2 linked regions of the Styela clava genome follow. The protein of the gene in region 1 purifies or fractionates together with the protein of each later gene. This does not show direct contact. Links are inferred from orthologs where the notes say so. Each region holds a gene or a part of one and is shown on either strand. Other genes may lie near its edges.

Region 1 (10,219 bases):
CAGTTTGGCACAGTTCTCCATTCCGAGATGTCCCATCATTCAGACATCAGGTTCAATAAAACAAGCACTCCCTTGTCTCTCAAAAAAGGGCATAAACTTCCTGGGCAACTCAAAAACACAGGTGTAATAAATATTTATATTATAAACAGTGAGGACAGAAGTAAAACTGTTCTATCTAGGTATCATTCAGACAAATGCTGAATTGCCAGTTTAATCAATCAATCAATCAATTTTATTTCGGTCGCTCTGGTATAAAACAAAACAATAAACGAACAAACACAAAATTAATTTAGTTTAATTAGGCTAACACGTTGCAGGCAGCCTTAAGTATTCTACAAAAAATAATTATTTCAATAGCTCACTTGATCATCCTTCGTTAGTAATAATTTATTCCATATCCGATTCTTTAATGAGCCTAACAATGAAATACAACCAACGGCAATAATCCGCGAGCGAATCGTCAAAATCGACGAGGGACGGCACCGCAAAGTAAACAACACAGCATACGGTAAGTTTCGAAAAACAGAGGGAAACGGTTGACTGTAATTTTTCAATTCAATAGCGCCATCTAGCGTCTCACAACTTCTCAGATAAGATCGGACATAAAACATCGTTACCCTATGTTCTCTATTATCGTTTCACAGCTCTGTTGTATGTATACCAGTATACGATATTCTTTGACTATTTAATAATCCACATTGTGGAGCTCGTCAAAATGAAATATATTACAGGTACCGGTTTTGATACGTTATTGATAGTAGTTTATTCCTAGGTAAGTGATGCGAATTTCGAAAATATATCTCTTCCATACGGCAGTACGGTAAGCAAGTACCTTCACGCCCGCCGACTGGCGGCAGCAGTAAAACTGTAAAAGTCGGGGTAATGTTTTTTCAGTTCGGTAATATGCTTGGGGTACTATATTTCTGTATTTGTTTATTGCTGATCAATTTAGGCCATATCCATTTCTAAGGAGAGTTCTACTCGTGTTGACCAGCCAGTCTAGTATAGTTCAGTAGTTTAGTATCACTGTACAGCTGTAGGCTACCATGATTCTGTAATTACTTCCAGTTGGCATAGCATAACGAATTTTGCATATGTCTGTATGTTATTCCTGACCCCCACCTGACTATGCCATAAGATCGCCGTGGACCGAATAGTAATGTTTTTATTTAGACGTATGAAGAAGCAACTGCGAGTTACGTTTGACTCATAAAATTAATATATAAAGATATTTCAGAATCTCGTAGTTGTCATGGATTGAATATTTTACGTGACAAGATGATCATTATACGCTGAAAGGAACGAGCGCGGAATCGCGGTGGCTGTTACAGGAGGCAATGGGAATTTCCGATTTCGAAAATCGTGAAATCCTTGAAAACTTATTGCTAATTTCAGACATAACAATATGATACACATAATAACAATATAGTTCACATAAATTAATATACAAATATACTGGTAGGTAGTAGAATACTCTAGACCAGGGCTTCCCAAACTTTTGAGCTCGCGGCCCCTTTTGATATATTAAAGTTTTTCGCGGCCCTTGTTCACGCTAATAATGCTAAAAAGTTCAAAATATGCTTTTTAATATTTTATTGACACAGCCAATTCTTAACTTTTAATAGGGCTACTCAATAACAAAAACATCTTTACTCAAATTATTCAATGTAATGGTGCAAATCTTTCTTGCTCAACTCTGCCTAGTTTTTCTTCAAAATGCTCAAAACTCACTCATGTTCGATGAGATTCTCATGTTCTGAAAGTTCGGTTTTCTGTAGATAAAGATTATTTCTACTTGGTTCAAAAAGCGTTGCGCACCACATCTCCTTTGCGATTTCGTATTTATATTAAGCAGGCTTTTCTACCATGGCCCATTGAATTCGATTTCACTGACTGTTGTTAGATTTTGTTTGTTCGTTTATATTAAACTCAATGCAAAAAAGGTATTATATTATATTAAAAGATATTATATTGAAATGTATCAATACGTACGGTATTTTTCACGGGAAGTCGCAACTTGAGCATATTTCTGGAGGTCGTCACAATACAATTAAGTTCGAAAACTACTGAGTCCTATAGTTGAAAGAAATCTACTTTTTAAATTGTTGATAACCTATATGTAGCCGCTATTTTTAATGGAAACGTGCTATTAAATTTGTATCATATTCCGGTATTCATATTTCGTATATTAATCTCGTTATTCTCAACATCCCCCTAAAATGAGCTCCAGTGTTCAAAAGAAAATTGATGACAATTATTATCGGGAAAACACGGTGTGATGATGTATATTCACTCGGAATCGTGAATTTATCGTTTTACACTATTTTTAATGATTGTATTTCAAATTAGGAGTCTGAAAAAGTGCAATAGATATAGTACTTTGTGTAAAATTGGTGTTCTCTTCGCGACCCCTTCCAGGGCCGCGGCCCCTAGTTTGGGAAGCCCTGCTCTAGACATAATGGATATTCGAATGTTGTTCCTTGCTTCAGTTGCCTGTATTGCCAATGAATTTTATTACTCTCAGAAAATATACACACTTATCTGAATACAAGTAGTGTTTTTGTCAATAGACTTGACTATTATCGTAAAATCATGGTACCATTGATAGAAAGCGTCAGACAACTCCTTGGCTATCTTTTCTTATGGTCATTTGTACTAAGTGTACAACTGACTGTGTCACAAGTTGCTATTATTTTCATTGATAGCTATAAACTATCAATTAATTTGTGTACATATACTGTTGGTTTGTGGCTTTATTCTGATATTTCTATTGAAGCTTATTTCCTATTTTACTGGGTTTTAATGGACTAAAACTAAAAAAAATATGTTATTTTCGATTTTAGAATGTATTCGGAAATGGCCATCCCTGCTCAAACCTCAAATAAGTTAGACATTTATGGACCTCAGGGGCTTGGAGTCAAAGTTTTTAATATATTGATATTATATGATTATATTGATATGATTCTTTCCACAGCAAGTATTTTTTTGGTCCTTTGAACATTTTAGGAATTATTTCGTACATATCCCACTTACCGTAATATGCATATAACTGTTTTTTTCAAGTTTTATATCTATTCTATTGATAGATATATTTATTAAATATATGTTTTTTTTATAATCAGTATATAATTTTATTGAAAGACTAATTAATTCGTTCTTGGGGTTTCGTGCTGCAATGGCAATATCACATTCTTCTATTCATTCTAAAATGAGTAATGCTTATTGGCACCAAAAAATTTTCTTCCAGATAATGCCATTGAATTCCAATTGTCTAGGCTCATATACTTAACAACAAACAACATGCTTTAAATTACTTGATTATGCAATAATATTCCTTGCAACAATATAACCCATTCGTTACACACTGTGTGAGGCTACGACATATGTCTGGCCCATGCCAGAACCATTTTTAATATTTTAGACCTGTGTTGTCATCAAAGCCTGGGCAATATGCTATTTATTTAATCTTACTTCTGATACTATTTTTTAGCAAATATGGCAGAAAAAATAAAATTTTCTAAGATGAATCACTGGTTGTCCAAAGTTGTAGCAGACTTTCAAGAATTGTCAACTGAAGATAAAATTACAGCATTGGATGGGATTATAGATGCATGTGAAGCACCCGAACTGAAATATCTTTCAGATCGTCTGGAAATATTTTTGAAGCGGGACTTTGTTCGATTTCTTCCAACAGAAATATGTATTTATCTTCTGAGCTGGCTAGATCCCATTTCATTAGGACGATGCTGCCTAGTCAGTAAAACTTGGAATGAAGCTGTTTCTGCGTGTCAGCCAGCATGGTTAAAAGCATGCAAGACTATCGGGTGGAAAGTGGATGATTCCATAATGTCTGGAGGTTATTGGAAAAAAACTTACCAGCGAGCTCTGATAAGACTACAGCAATTAAAAAGTGGTTCTGCTTTTAAGGTATTAACTTTACTTGGACATACGGCTCGTGTATATACTCTTCGATACAACGGAAATAATTTGATGGCGTCTGGTTCAGATGACCGAAGCGTGAGACTTTGGGATGTGGTAACCGGAGAATGTTTACAGATTATACAGACTCATACATGTGCAGATCTTGCATTTGATGAATATTTTGTGTACACTGCTTCTTTCGATAACACGATTGGATGTTGGGAGTGGAGTTCGGGAGACATGATTCGGAATTATAGAGGACATACTGGGGCTGTTTTTAGCGTCTCTTATGACAATGAAAGAGAGTTGCTTGTATCTGGATCGGCAGATAAAACAGTTCGTTTATGGCAACTTTCAACAGGTGAACAAATAAACATGTATCATGGACATAGAGAATGGGTAACAAAAGTCATTTTAAGAAAGAGTGAAGTTGATTCCCTTCACCATAAGCCTGGTGATTATGTTATCTTATCTATGGACAAGGTTGAGATAAGAATATGGCTGATAAGTGAGGAGGTCAACTGTCAAAGTTTATGTGAATTATCAGCTACTGATTGTAGTGATAAACTTTTATCAAATTCAATGCCATCTTATCCTACTACTCCTCTTAATACTGATGATAACAATGAACATTGCTTCCTTCATCCGCAACTTCTTTTTGATGGCACACGGATTATGTGCTCATCCGAGCGAGGAGTATTGGAATGGGATTTTAAAGACTATACTCTAACTCGAGTAACTCCTCATCAAAACGACCCATCTTTTCTACTTGGAGCGGGTAAAACTATGTTTTTTGCTGCAGACACTCGAGAAAACTGTTTGTTTATTAGAGTGCTTGATAGCACCACAGAATCGCAACATCCTAATTTGTTAAACCGTAAAAAACTAGTGTTAGAAAATAATCCCTCAGTTAGTCACCCAAGTCCTAGTCCGGAAACGGTCGACTATGAAGTCGAATCAGAGCCCTGTAAGGCTTGTTGCAGCAGTTCATTACCTGAACAATCATTAAAACTTCCAAAATTTTCGACGAAACTAAGCCTGGAAGTTACTGAAACCCCAAATACAGACGATTCTGCAAGACATCATGGTATACCTAATAGTAGTAGCACAGTTGAAGATGAATTAATTAACGATATCAATTATAACAGTATTAAATTACCAAAATCAAAGACTGACAGTCATATTCCTACTGTAATATCTAATAACATAACTCCCGACGATGGAGGCACTTTTCAACTCCAACAGAATGTTGGAACGGAAAGTCTTCCAGGCGTTTTGGGGCGGTGGAATTTACCTATGTGTCGTTGGTCAAAACGAGGTTCAAATTATGTTTGTGGAGATCAATCGTGGTTGAATGGTTTTAGTGATGCGAACCATTCCGGTTTAGTATTTGCAGCGGCGTTACCAGACCATTCTATATATTTATTACAATGGTCTGATTGTTCATAGTATTATTGTTGTTAAATAATCATAGCCTGAGAGAATTTAAAATAAATATATAAAATATATGTAATGTTCTATTTATTAAAAAAAGCATTGGATATTCAGATAAACAAAACTACTGCCATTTTAGTTTTCAATACAGTAACAGCACAATTTTGGGAATATTGGTGATTACTGAAAAAGGGGATAATTGTAATATATGGATTGAGCACAGAAAAAGAGTACGAGTAGATTGTTAGAAGCGGATTATTCCCAGCAGTAGTCCAAACCCCTAATTTAGATTTGTCGATATTCCTTTATTCCTAGGCTAAATATTTCCACTGCATATTGAGACTAACTATAATATAGGTGCATCAGCGGCATGGCAATTAATGATAGGTAGCCTCCAAGTAAAGTGTTTTTTTTATTGGAAGTGACATCCGATTTTTGTACACTTTGTTGTTTAGAAAAATATAAAATATTATTGATATACAAAAATAGTTATGGTAGTTGATAATAGCTAAAATGTAACAGTTTCCATCATTAATATTTTGCTTTCAACAAGATTTTTCAACCAGATTTCACGAAATCTTGATTTTCCTGGCCTGAAAATATATATGATGTAAGGATAGAGATTTTGTGTAAAAATAAATACAACAACAGTCATTACAAAATCACTTACTTATGGACTAATCTGTTTCCTTCGAATATGTAAAATACTTCAACAGGCAAAGTCTGTAAAAATGAAGTTTATTATTGGTCGCTGACAATGACACTATATACATACAAATGCTCAGGGGAAATCAATATTTCAAGATACTTAATTCTTTATGACATCATGAAAATTTTTTCATAAAGTATTCTTTTAGCATCGGTTTCGCCAATGCGGTGTTTCTCTTTAATATATAACTATACTAGATTAATCAATTTTCAATTTTGATTACTTGAAGAAAATTATCTGACAGTGAAGAATTACTTGGAAAATTGCACACAATTATCATGGTCCATGTCCATTCATTCGTATTACTTTTTGCTTTCTCGTTTTAATAATGTGTTCTCATACCATATGATTGCGCCTGAATGTTTTTTTATATCGTTCTTTTTATCATCAGAGTTCAAAATGGAACATTCGAAGGCAATCAAACTGAGGACCTTAGCACTGAGATTTCACTAACTATTTTAAAACCATTTGACAAAATGAATGTCATAGTTCTGACCAAGTCTATGCTAGCTTATGGAGATAGTACAAAACATTTGCACTTGCACATATAGTAGTACCCTTCAAATGCCTCACTTTAGTTTATTCTACTAGACTTTAGAATTGTTGACAAAATTTTGAAGCGTTTACCTTAGGTTTAATCTTCGAAAGACTGATTGTAAAGTAGACACAGGCAGTTGCTCTAGGTATTGGTTTTCTTCTAGTTGGTATGCTCCATCTTACTCTATATTTATGTCGAATATCATAATCAAATTCTGTGTCACCCATATAATCGATACAGTATAACCATGCTGAATCTCGCTTCCAAGTCTGTTATAGTAAAATATATCTAATATGAATATATTGTATTATGAAAAATGTTTCATATAGGTAATCGGCGAAGAACTAGAATAACAAGTTAATATGCTGCAAGAGGATATCCGAACTCCTTGCTCTTGTAGAACCTGAAAACTATTTATAGTCTATAAAATTAAACAATTACCGTAACTTGTTAGCTATTACAGATCCAGCCTTAACTTATCACCAGTCAAAGATTGTACATATAGGTACTCCTAAAGTATGCACACCAAGATGTCTCACAACCTGAATCTAACCTGGTACACAACCTGAGTTCACGTTGTGCGCCATCTTGGTGTGCATACTTCAGGAGGACCTACATAATTGGCTTCAACATTTGAGAGCATAGTTTAGTGAAGTTCTCTATATAATACACATTTGCATACACATTACACATATATAAAATTTAGCACAAAGAGCAAAATTCAAGACATACAGCGATGAACTTCTCTATCTGACCCACTCCATTTTCTGGAGTGAAGTTTTCACAAGACGACCATTCTATGTTTGGAATTCCAAAGTCTTCTTTATCTTCAAATATTATTGGAAGGTTGGCCTGAAAATATATATATATATATACGGTCAGTGATGAGCTAGAAAAATCGTAACAACCGGAACGCACCAAATTCGTGAAAATGTAATATATATTTACAACACGGCGCTACCAGTAATTTTGTCTATCGTAAGATAGAGCCGAAGAACTACAATGAAATTATCTGAAATATGACTTTTTAAAATTGAAAGAATATTCATACTAATTCAATACAAATGTTCACAAGGGTCAAAGGTCGGCAAAACATTCATTATACATTACTGCTGTGCACTAATTATTTGCCAGCTGAAATGTAAAAATAATTATGATGCAACAAAACATCAATTAATAACTAAGTTTCCCGAGGAAACCAGACTTTTCGAACCATAATTTTATTTTAACAACAGGAACGCAATGAACTGTCCAACAACCGGAACGCCGTTGGTATATGAAGCTTCAAGGCCTATCCAAGCCAGATTTGACATATCATATAAAATATACATACCAAATTATGTCTAATTTCAACTGAAACATCATGAACAGCTTTTGCTATTACGTCGTCGACTATTTTGAATGCTTCCTCATCAAATTCAGCAGGATCTTCATCACTCCATCTTACAGGCATTTTTTAGTCACAACAACTATACAGTAGTATCCCTAAAACCTTTAAACCTATCAATATGGTACTATGAAATTAATGATAACAAGGTAAAAATAGTGAGACACAAATGAAAGTCGCACAATTCACAACACAGTGATGAAAATGATTTATGAAAACTACAGGATTACATTAAAATATACCTAGTTCTCCAGTAAGCTATTGAATATAATCATCAACAAATATGAGCAGGTAGTCTAATCCAATGATCAGATTTTAGAATTCATATAAGTTTTATTGTCTATCATTGAAGGCAAGCGGATTTAAAATGTTCTCCCGTATGACCTTGTAAGCAATTCTTTCAACAGAACAAATTATCTGAATTTATTATCAAATATCCAGAGGGTTCAGACCGAACTCTAGAAGAGTAATTTTAGTTTGTTCCTGTATTTTAATTCCTTCTTGATCCCATTTATCCTTAGCTTCATCAATTTTTCCAATAAGTGAATCAAGCGAAGCCGTAAGGACTCCTTCGTATGATATTTCCATTTCATCGATTCTTTTTTCCAATATTCTGATTGTTTCGTTTTTTTCCTGTTCCATTTCTTCTTTTTCTCGTTTCGTTGTTTCAAGCTCTTGTCTTGCATTCGCTACTTGTTGTCTTAGATGTTCTACTTCTGTGTTTAGTTCTCGCATTCTAATGTCCATATCCGTGTGCATCGTTTTATATTGTCGAGTCAACTCTGCACTGACATCTTTTTGTTCCAATTTCTGCTCCTCAAGATTTTCCTCCATTTCATGAAGACGATTCTTCCAATCTGATGCTTGGGCTTGTGATCTCCGAGCAATTTCATTTCGATGAGCGAGATGTTCTTTCAGAATTTCAATTTCTCTAACAGTCTTTTTAAATTTGTCTTCTTCTTTTGCTACATCCTTCTTTTTGCCCTTCTTTCCTTTCTTTCCCTTGCCCTTTTTCTTTTTTGGTGGCATTTTATTTATTTACTATAATAGAATTTGATAGTGCTTGAATAAATAAGAAGTAAAATAAAGCATAATGTATATCAGGGGTCGGGAACCCATGGCTCGCGAGCCATATATGGCTCTTTTGATGGCGGCATAAATATGGCTCCCAGAAAAATCTAATATTGTAAGGCTAAGCTTACAATTGTTAACGAGTTTTCAAACCTATTTATAGCCAAATTTGCCAAGACGTTTGAAAACGTGCGCCCAGCGCATGTCTATGTTATTTGAGAGAATTACCAGACAAGCATTGTGACAAAACTAGGGGATTCTGGAATCTATTTTGTGACGCCACAAAGTGTTATAGTTTCGGAGCTATAGAGAAAAGCTTTTCGTCCGTTTGTACGTACTAATTACAGTATTTGTCATATTTAAATCAAACTAGTACAGAGATGCCTAAACGAAAGAAGGGTGATGGTGATGTGTATCGTAGATTTCAACTTGGCTGCATGTGAGCAGCCGTTGAAGCATCAGAAGTCACATTAAATGTATATTGACATTGTATTTGTTGACTTTTGAGTAAAATTTCAGGCCTGAAATGCTGTATGGCTCGCACGGAAATGCAATTGAAAATATGTACCTTTTATGGCTCTCTTGACCAAAAAGGTTCTCGACCCCTGATGTATATGATATATGGTAAAATCATGACAAAAAATCAGGCTGTGAGATTAGTTATTGCTAAAAATATTTGATGGTCTAATCACACTTTTGTGTACCTATAAAGCGTTAACAACTTATCTATCTATCTTAACTATCTAACAATATGAGATTAATTGTAACCAAAGTATTTCACATTACAAAAATATTATTCATTTGCAATATTTCAGTCATTTTCAATCCAAATATGGTTTCATGATGAGTCAACATAGGCTTTCCATTTTTTTTTGTATTGGCAGCAGTCAGTTCTTTTTGTCGGCTTTCCTCTCCTCCGGGATAAATATGTAAATCCTCCTCCTCCTCCTAATATACCTTAATACAGCTGTTCATTTCTCTCTGTCACGCATTAATACCGTACACATATAAAATTCCATTCCAGTTGTTATTATTATTTCTTATACATATAGAAACAAGTCATAGCTTAAAATAGTTACTAGTTCGCTTACTACATACCGGTAGCCTTGTACGAGCGGCAGAACACAAAATAAAACTCTCAGCCGAACGAAGCGTGTCG
Region 2 (11,098 bases), on another chromosome or scaffold:
ATCGTAGTATACGTCACCATGGCCGGTGTACAACAATACTATACTTCCCGAACGTATTCTACCTGCAATATTAATTTAGATTACATATTTTTTTTATATTTGAGTAATTTCGTGACAAATTTACTTTTTTAGTTTTAATTTATGTGTTTATTCTGAATAAAAATTTGAAATTTCCTGAAATGAAAAATTGTTATATAATGTATATAGCGCTTCATCAATTTTCGCTGTTTAATTTACCCTTATTCTCTCGTTCCCATTCAAGAAAATCATCCACTGTGATGAATGAGTCGCTGTCAAATCCTTCTTTGTTTTTCATATTCAGCAGAACTCCATTTCCGATAAGATTAAACAAGTCGACTTGTTCCATCTAAATAAAAATGACAACAGGTGCTCACTATTTATTTGTTTGTAAATTGCACGTCGTGGCCCCTTAATACAACTTCTTATTTTGACGTTCTAAACCTACAATCGTTATTTGGAGTTCATTTCTACTCACATCTTTTCCTTATTTTTACTGAACAACACCTCAGACGTCGTCTATGCTTCTGATTTAAATATATATATATGATATTGATGTTTTCATATGATGAATATATTTTATTATATGATTTTTATATTTGAAAACTCACCGTAAGACCCTTTTCTGCAAAATGAGATGGTGCATCTACATGTGTTCCAATGTGTTCAGGTTGTGTCATCATATTATACGTAACATAAAAACTGCCTATAAATCCTGAAAATATTCACAAAGTTAGGCACCTAAAAATGCGACTAAACATATATATGATTTACAAATATCCAAGTTAGAGCTGTCGCCAGATCATTTTTGTATTAAACAATTTCTTTGTGTCATTCTCTTGGACTTAATACGCAATTTATGCGATGAAAGGGTTTGCTGTGGACATATAAAATTTTGATTGTTGTTCATATACCTTTAATAACCTCGTTTAATTGAAAACCAGCTGGGTTTCCCGGCCAATGCATTGCTCTTTCGTCATAATCGTATGTCAAGTCAATCATATTATCTGCCCGAACACGCAAGTTGATGCCACGAAGTGGTTTAAGACACCCTGAATGAAAAAGCAAAAATCAAAAATAGCCAGAACATAGATCTAAATTAAGGTGAAATATTGGCACATATCATACGCAATCATATATATTTAACAGAATAACACACAGATTAGCAGAGCGGTTATATTTAACAGAAATCGCCCAAGTGCATAATAACTGACGGATGTTGCCAAAAAATCAATACTTTTACCTGTATATCGTTAATTGATTGTATATATTTACCTTGTCTTCTCGGAGGTGGAGCTTCGACGGAGTATATCACAAGTAAAATGCTTATTATGGCTTTGGTATTCATTATTTCAGGTATTGTTTCGAAACTAACTATTTTTTATATAATTATTGTAACACTAAAATATCTTTAGAAGTACAACTAAAAATTTGTAACATTTATATAAAATCTCTGATAGAATATTAATTACACTTGTTTGGTGCTTCGGAGATTCTAATAAAAATAAAATTGATAATACACCATAATGCCCAGTACTACATTCGCATTCTTGATCAAAATATTTTCCAGCGTCTGGATAAAATAAGAGCCCTGATCTCTTATCAACCCAAACCCATGACGATATCGCCTATGACTCTTCTTAAAATTAGTTTGTTTGTTTTTTTCAACTCAAAATTCTGCTCTGGCTCTACTATTAGAAAATTTAAGAGACTTGAGTGAAAAAATAAAATAAATAAATATAACTATGTACTTAGATTAGTACCATTCATTTTAAAAGGATTGCCTAACAAAAATTTTAATTAAACCAAACGTTGATGGGACGTTGACGGATGAAAACTCTGACATATGACAAATTTGCAACAGTTCGTAACTATTTATATGTTTGCAATAGGGATACAATTATAGGGATAGGGTGTTTAATCGAATTTGCAAATCTTTGACCTGATTTTCGCATGTTCTGGATTACATGTTTGAGCTAAGTTTTGTCCACAATAAATGTTATAATACTCTTTTTAAACATACTCTTTCAGTTGAGTTGAATTCTGTACCCTGACAGCTTAACCATGCAACCTTATATCAAACGTATCGTACATAAAATCTAATATGAAGTTTGCTGGCCCATGTGTTCAGAGAGTTAGCATATTCAAATACCCAATGTTTGCCAATCGTCAACTATAACCATTTCACTTACGGGGCGAATTTCTTGCAAACCAACGGTACATCGCCATGTTCTTTCCTTGCAAATAAATCTAGGAATAAGATTGCTTATTGAGGTCAACACGAAAACCCATGTTTAACATACATATAAAAACATGTCAAATACTACTGCCGAACATGCCAACGTAAAATATTGACCCTCAATTTTTTTTTTTGCTCTCACTTAAAATACGTCAGCTTCCATACGCCGATAAACTCACACATTTCTGCCGTGGAAGATCGATGCAAAATTCTGCATACAACTACGAGATTGGTCTTCTAATAACCGAAGAATTGCAGCAAAGCTGGACTCGTAGATGAACAGATTAGTCTAGTACCTGCGAATATAATCAATCTTCATTTAATATCAACACTAACACGATATGTCCACTGCGGCCCAATAATAGAAATATACTGATGTGAATTACAGAGTATCTTGATCGCTAAAAGCTACTATCAGGTTAGTGTTAGGAGCAGAGGCGTGCCAAACTATTCTGTTGCCCGGGACATGTTTCTATTAATGTTCCTAGGCCATGGACAAAATCTGAAAAGCGCTTAAAAATCGAGTTCTTGTTTCTTGAGGGGAACCTGAATTTTGGTGGGTCAGATAGCTAAAAGCCCAATTTACTAAATATAAAAAGTTGACATTTCCAAAGTGGAGCATTACGTCACAATTGACGATGACGTCCCCCTTATACCTAACTTCAAAAATAATTCCGGGGAAATCAAATTATAGATATTGTTATACATGAGAATAAATAAATTAAAGGTCAAGTAAGAGTGAAAGGTTTGTATTATTATTAATAATTTAATCCTCTAACTAAGCAACAAATTCGCATCCTACAACGACCACTGGGGGCGCCGCTACGAGCATATGGATCTACCCTGATTCAAGATCCCCACAATAATTCAAAACGAGATAGCGATCAGAGACCGCCGACTTATCGATCAAGCGGCGTGTATCCTTGGCTCTGATTCAATAGCGACACCGCGTGTTCCATCACTAATTAATTAATAACTCGCTAATTATACGACATAATTCAATAGGCTTCTGGTCCGAGATATGATGAATGCACATGTAAAATTTGGAGCAGATTCAACCTCGCTTTCGTGAGATATCGCGAAACATACGAAAGTGTCTAACAGAAAAATACCTATTTCGTTGATTTATCATTGTGATGGAACAAAAGAGCAATGCTAAAATATATGCACATGAAGGTCGCAGTCGACAAGCAATAAGGAGACAACAATATGGAAAAAAGTTCAAAGTGAAAAACGAATCCATAAAACCCACAGAAACTTAAATAGTAATATTACTATATATTGTATATATTACCATTAGTATTACTATATATAGTAAGTAGTTATATATACTACTTCTAGCGTCAACAACAAGCTTGAACCATTTAAAAAAATTAGTCCAGTATTTAAAGAGAATCGCTATTTTTTCACATCAACAAATAACAACAACAAAAAAAGAGAATACCAACAACTCCAACATAATAAGAAAACAGCCATAGGTCAAGGCCGTGTTCAATAAGTCGGTGGTCGACTAAACACTTAGTCGTTGGGTAAACGTCGTTGAGATTTATACACGCCAACCGATACTAAGTTGCGGTTTATTTCTGCTGGATTAACATCCAAATATTTGAGTCTTGCAAACTTAAATGTATTTTATGAAAACGGTTAATTCCAACAATATTATAAGTTTTTATAGAATCAAACAAATCTAAATAATTTTCACGACTAGTAAACTGGCGTAATTATGAGTTTGGTTGCGAGACTATCTCTGTTCCTTTATATTTATAGTAATTGATCCATGTGTGTATAATGCAACGATGTACTAGTAAGAATAAATAGAAATATAATATGCAATTCAAAAGTCCTGCTGCACTTTTATACAAATGAACATATTTATATCACGTTTCGTTTGACCGTAAATATATACGTTTGACTACCGGTAAATATTTACGGTTTGACCAAAGTCAGACTTCCTCAGACAAGCAGTTTAATAACCTGGTAACGGTTCTACATTTGATAACCCATTGTTACATCACTGACGACTCTGATCTGAGCGACAAGGCTTCTATTTCAGTCTACTCTAGCTTTAGTTAGTCTAGCTTAAACTAGCCTACAATATGCTTTCATCCTAACCAGGAAAATGAGAAAGATGAAATATCAACAGTGATAACTTGATTGTTAGGATGTGTTTCTTTTTTGATTGGTTTAAAAATAATACCGGTAACTTATTTTCGGGGAGACAGTCCAGTTTGCTGGCAAGAAGTTATCATTCATATAGACTAGATGTGGTGGTAGCTACACACGCGCTTTTGGTGCACAGACAATCGATTGCGTTGTTCTTTGATTTCTCGAGTTGCAAGAGTCAAAGCATGGTGTTGTAGACTACCCAGGATTCAAAACCTACCTATAGTATTTACTACAACTAGTTTACTCTTATTTTTTATATGGACAATGCGTTTGTATTTGTGAACTAGGAGAATTGAAGGGTATCTGGGTGCTGGGAGTAACAGCAGCTTACGTTTCCACAGTGTCAAATAACCGTTTGGTCCATACGTAAAAATATGTCATTATCAACGATCCTCGGTTAGAACTTTTTAAAAACATAACATAATCTAACATATCTAATATCTGGCTAATGGAAGTAGACGAAATAAGCGACTCCACGAATAATTTGTGCATCCTAGAGGCCGATAAGGAAAAAGAATTGTTATATGATGATTTGGGAATCATTGGTGAAATATCATATGATGAAGAGCTGGATGACACAAATGAACGAAGTGAAGAATTTCTGTTACGAACGCCGAAAACTAAGCGTCCTACACACGATGTCATATTGAAATGTCGAACTCCGGAAAAACCCCGACGAAATTGGAGATTCAACAGAAACCCCACTGCTTATTTTTCTAACGAAAAACCATTCACTTGTGGTCTTCGGAAATCCCCATATTCAAAATCATCGTCTAGTAGAGATATTTCAAGTGAGTCAAATTTGATCAATTTCTCGTATATTATCATACTTACTTCCAGGCAATCATATTGTTTTTGCAGTCCTCTCCCTTCCGTATGAAATCGTACTCTACATATTTAGAATGCTGAATATTTCGTCTCTGGGTAGATGCTTACAAGTATGTAGATTATGGAATAATATTGCGTGAGTTATCTTAATGTATTATACCAGATATGGTTAAATTACCATCTACGAAAAAAAGTTAAGTAATGAACATCCCAACTGTGCTTGAAATTGGTTTATTATGTATGCACATTTTGATTTTGTGCACAAAGTACCAATTTTATGAAATATGATTTTCTATTTTCTTTATACAATTTGAATAATTTTATATATATAGTATTTTCAATAAGGCACCTCGTCGTTCTTAACAGCACCCACTGGGCGGAAATCAAGTAAAAAATGAAAACTGTTGAACTTCTAAATAAAAAAAGTCAGTCTCAAGTTCTTCTCATGAGAATGCTTTCCGTATACCGCCTATATCAAAACATGCGATATTTTAGTACTTTTTATCACGGGATAAAGTTTATCTTGTTTTGTTGCGACATAAATATTTTAGGAATGACAAATGCCTGTGGAAAAAGTTGAACCTAAGAAAGCGCACGATGAACATATTGGATCTGCAAAATCTTCTGAGAAATCAGGCTGTTGCAATATCACTTAACTCTGCCACCATCTCCAACGATCGTCGCAATAACTCATGGCTGATAAACAACTCCTATTACCATGGAAATAACACTACTCCTGTATACACGCCAGTTCGTGATGAAGGGTAATTGATTGATAAAAACTAATAAATGATTAATAAATAAATAAATATATTTTGCATCTTATAAATCTGAAATGTACAGATCAGTTTGCTTGCTTAAAAGGGTAACCCCGAAGTATGTGAACCAAGATGGCGGACACCGGAACATAGAATGTGTACAAGGTTAGGGTTAGGCCATAATTTCAGGTACAATTACTGCGGAAGTCAATTGGCTAGTCCCCGAACTCGCAATAGAATTAATAAGAAAAATTGGAATAAAATTATGACCTCACCCTAACCTGGTACGTTCTGGTATCCGCCATCTCGGTTCACATACATAGGGAGTACCTCTAATACACAGGTCCAGTCCAATGCGTGATCCATTTTCTCGTGTGTATTACTACGAAGTTCAACATCTCGATTTTACAAACGCAAACATCAGTCCGACCACACTTTGTCTCATCTTGACACGTTGTAAAAGTCTGGTGAATTTGAGTTTGGAAAATTTGATCAGTAATCATCACGTTCTCGGGTTTGTATCGTCTAGTATTGACATTTTGCTGAAGTTAACTAAATGATTATGACGAAGGCATTTGTGTATTGTTCATATGAACACACTGCCTAAACAATTTAGCTTTTAAACGAAATCAATGATATCTTAAATATATTTTTTTATTTCATTTGATATCCAAGGTTTTATTAACTTATTACATTATGATGTATTTATTATTTTAATTTCAAAATTCCGCACTCCAGAAGTATTTGTACCAATATGGAGATAACTAATTTTGTTCGCCTATTTTACATCAATTTGTGTAAAGGGACTGAAACCTATGAACAAGGAGATATTCACTTGGCTAACACAGACAGTTCCCAAACTCGTAATAGAACTAAAATACGATGGCCTAACCCTAACCTGGTACACATACTTCGGGAGTACCCATAATTCTGCACATTGACAAACGCGATGATTTTTACTACAAAATATTTTATATATATATATATATATATATATATATATATATATATATATGATCAAAAAGTGTAAATATGATGTTATTTTAATCACCTCCGGTGGCAAAAAATAAAAAAATTTACTGTTTTCTCCGTTTATATCACAGATGCATATCGAACTGTTTATTCCTGACTCGTCTAAATCTCACACTATGTAAAGAAGTCACTATTTCAGGTGTGATCGAAATACTGTTGGCATGCAATCGGCTCACTGAACTCAACCTCTCTTGGTCATCGATTTGTCGATACCCACCAGAAGAGGTAAATTCAATGAAGACGAATTATTTAACCAAATATATGCGAAAAGACGTAAACTACTTTATTCATTCAAGCATATGATATCATTAATTTATTTTGAAAAGTTATGTTAGTAATTATCATCCCTATCATTCGATAGCATACATCAATATTTTCTTATCTTGATATCAAATTTATGAAGTGTTCTGTCATATGTACTGAAGGTGGCAGTTGATTTCCATAAATTGGAGTGGAATATTGGGCTTCTGCGACCCTTATTATCTGTACATCACTATTAACTATATTCTATGTTCAGCTTGTGTCAAGACTTCCTCCAACAATTACTCACCTGAATCTTGGAGGTTTCCGAGATACAATGCAGGACGGCCACGTAGCTGAAATAGTAGCAAGATGCAGACGACTCCAAGATCTTGATGTCAGCGATTCAAATCACCTGACTTCTACAGCGGTGGATATGCTAATTCACGGGTTATCAGACACGTTAAAAGGAGTTAATATGAGTCGATGTTATTCTGTAGCTCCAGATAGTTTATTGTGAGTAATTATTGACATTATACATTTGAGAAAAGGGTGATTCTTTTATGTAACAGCTTGAAAAGATGATCTACCATTACGCACTCACATTCAAAACAAAGACACCTTAATCACTTCTATCAGTTTCGATCCAAATATTTAACGATAAATAGAAACTGGTAGCTCTTCATTGAAGTGAATGCTATTTCTAATATTCTGAAGTTGTTGTCACCGACTGTACAATCGTTTGTATACGATACATTTGATAAACATATTGTACGCTTCAATTTACTTATTTGCAGACGATTTGTGAACATGCCGAATCTGCAATACCTAGATGTCTTCGGTATAATGGATGACGCATCGGTGAGGGCATTGTCTGACGCACTACCTCATGTCAACGTCAGTATGAGACCTTTCAGCGCTATTGCAAGACCAACACCCAGCATGGTAATTCAGGGGTCGGTTTCAAATTCGTCTATTTGGGAAGAATATGTGAAACTATGAAGAGCCTTGTTTCTGGACATATTGGATATACCATAAATCTCATTTATTCAGGTTCCAGGTAATTTATTGTCGATGAAGAATGGTGCGTTAGTGACACAATGTGTGGTTATCAAGAGTACACTCAATTGCACAAAATATAATATCAGTTGATTTCATACTTTGAAGTATCACTGTCAATATTTGAGATGTTACACATCATTGAAATTTCTAGATTGCAATCTATCGGAAATTGCTTTGCGATGACCTATGTTTTTCTGCAAAATTTTAATGTTGCTTTAAAAAACCTTGTTTCTCTGAGTCAAAGTAAATTGTATGTTTTTTAGTTTCGAAGTTTCTTTTTGTATATAGAACAAAAAATTCTTTAAATAGATTAAATATATAAAGAAGCAGTACCTATTGCTTATCTCAGAAAAAAAATTATCAATTTGAGGAAAGCTTTCTAAGTGTACTGTAATTCAGTAGTTAACATATTAGTAGATGATCTTTGTATATAATGCCAGGGTTATCACACGAGACAATTGACGTGTATTGGGGGAATCATATCCATGTCGAACTTAACGGGAAACGAGAAGATATACTCATACGAATCAACTAAACGTATATAAATAATAGCAATAAAAAATTTGGGTGCAGACTGCAGAAATTTGAAAAATATTCAATTATGCATCAACCAAGTAGCAACTGTCACGTTTATTGTCAATTCCACTTACACGAATCATTTCAAACTTCTTTTAATTCTTGACAAAGTTTATGTCCATCTTTTTTCAATAATAAACAGATGCGTCAAAGGCAGCGATAATTTGATTAAAAGGTAATTTATAATGATTATTTTTTAAGAAAAAAAACTAATAAGATTCAACTGATTCTGCGGAAATACTTTCATTATCACGGTTACAGTTTCACATAAACGAACACATTTAAACACTTGGTAGTATTAATAGATGAGTTATTGTATATTTTGAATGATTGCTTTCGATGTCTTCGACATGGATCCACAATTTTACTATGCGACATAAAAATCTGTTTTATTTATGACAATGCAACAGAATTTATAAACGACAATATTAACAATAAAACAGACTTAACATTTTCTTGTTTTCCGAGCACAAAAATATACAACAGACCATTAGAGCTTAGTAATACGTCGGCTCGATCTTTTATCAGTTATCCACTTCCCATCGTCATAGTCACATAAATCACTCCAGTTGCTGCAAATATATATATAAAATAATTTTAGAACTTAAGATACAGAATGCAATTGGTAAGAAAAACTATCGAAATAAGGATTCATATTCTTAACCCAGTTCGCTTTGGTACACAGCAAAATAAATGCCGAATAATCTTCATGGATTGCAGGAAAAAAAAACTAATAAATGGCGTTTGAACTATGGACATTCGTGAAGTGGTGCACGTGGCCTGTTTCGGAATTTTCTGAATATAACATGTTTGTGTTGGAGTACCGATTATGTCCTAAATCTGTTGAAATTAGTTTGTGATATTTTGTACTCGTGTTTCTTCCAAAAATGAATTGCAATATTTACTTAGATATGTAGTTTGCAGTATAATTTGAGTTTACACATTTTGCACAAGTTTCTTACTCTCCTAAATGAATTAGATTTAGGAAAAATAGGGTTTTATGTTGGAACATCGCACCTAATGAAGCTGAATAGTATTATTTTGAAACTCACGAGATGGGTCAGCAAAAGCATCAAAGTCTGGCTAGGCAAAGTCTGGATTCTGTTCGTATATTCCAACTACTGATGGTTCTGAAATGAAAAAAAATGTCCTCCACCTTACAAAGCTAAAACGCATATATATAGTAGGGCGGGGGATGATGGCCCCCCTTATTGAAAATTATCTATATTTCGAAAACCTTTCTTCAAATATTCCTAAAACTTTGCAAGCACAAACATAAGGGGCTGAACTCTTTAGCCACTCGGCGGCGTCCGCCGGTCTCCAACCATGGCAACAGCAGAAATGTTTTTAAGCGAAAAAAAAATTCGGGGAAGTTGGACATATGGTCGGATATGACGGACATGTAATAAAATCGCATCAAAATACTAGTATTGCGTTCTGTTTCTTATCAGAATATCAAAATATGCAATGTATTTGGAAAATTTTTTGGGGCATTCGAAAATTCCCCCTATGTCCATCTTACCCCTTAAATTTTTGAAGTTGTGAACCCATATAATTGTTCACGAAAGTATGATAAAACACCACCTAGTAAAGCAGCCAAATTTTATTTGATCATACTTTCACACAAATCTTAATCATAACACCAAAAGAACATCTGGGATAGCATGAAAGCTATCGTCATGGAATTTTACATTCGAATGAAAATATTTATACAAAAAAGCTTCAAGCAGAGCAGTCATCACATTGGAAGGACACAATGTGTTTTCCATAAATCCCGGCACAAATATCGTGAAGCCACTTTTGGCATTTCTGGCACTGAATCCATCGCTCGTCCTCTTCGTCGTCAAAATATTCGACCTTGCAGACAGCACAGAGGTTACTGTAACAATATCTTTCATGTCGCTCATTCTTACGTTTATTTTCTTTTTTCTTCCTGGGAGCTGCAACTTTCTTAGACAAGCTAGATGACATCGTTTCTGCGAGTGCTGTAGTTTTCCTGAACGAGCTAGGTGGCGTTGTTTCTGCGAGTGCTGACAGTTCGGCTACATAATTCTCACTTGTTAACACTCTAATTCCTGCCTGAATGGCTTTCTTTGCCTCTTGGCTCTCTGAGTGGCTACTGGAAGAGGCAAATATATTCAAATGATAAACTGGTGCTATCAGGTCTCTGCTATTTTCT

Evidence for each region. The genes of interacting proteins can lie anywhere in the genome.
Region 2: the proteins of F-box/WD repeat-containing protein 2-like (region 1) and S-phase kinase-associated protein 2-like purify together in Homo sapiens (affinity purification with western blotting; 4 studies listed by BioGRID). This does not show direct contact. The link is inferred for Styela clava from reciprocal best matches to the Homo sapiens genes FBXW2 and SKP2.

Annotation. Positions count from the first base shown.
Region 1 is NC_135258.1:9,388,079-9,398,297, forward strand, and holds F-box/WD repeat-containing protein 2-like, read left to right. Parts: upstream 1-3,494; 5' UTR 3,495-3,495; coding exon 3,496-5,370; 3' UTR 5,371-5,429; downstream 5,430-10,219. Other genes in the region: A-kinase anchor protein 14-like, read right to left, coding at 5,864-5,948, 6,026-6,078, 6,692-6,871, 7,335-7,454, 7,936-8,055; dynein regulatory complex protein 12-like, read right to left, coding at 8,419-9,018. UniProt on the Homo sapiens protein: Substrate-recognition component of the SCF (SKP1-CUL1-F-box protein)-type E3 ubiquitin ligase complex.
Region 2 is NC_135260.1:16,936,919-16,948,016, reverse strand, and holds S-phase kinase-associated protein 2-like, read left to right. Parts: upstream 1-4,425; 5' UTR 4,426-4,871; coding exon 4,872-5,214; intron 5,215-5,284; coding exon 5,285-5,387; intron 5,388-5,802; coding exon 5,803-6,015; intron 6,016-6,352; coding exon 6,353-6,523; intron 6,524-7,112; coding exon 7,113-7,266; intron 7,267-7,558; coding exon 7,559-7,797; intron 7,798-8,078; coding exon 8,079-8,283; 3' UTR 8,284-8,669; downstream 8,670-11,098. Other genes in the region: kynurenine formamidase-like, read right to left, coding at 1-62, 238-367, 630-733, 933-1,070, 1,294-1,366. UniProt on the Homo sapiens protein: Substrate recognition component of a SCF (SKP1-CUL1-F-box protein) E3 ubiquitin-protein ligase complex which mediates the ubiquitination and subsequent proteasomal degradation of target proteins involved in cell cycle progression, signal transduction and transcription.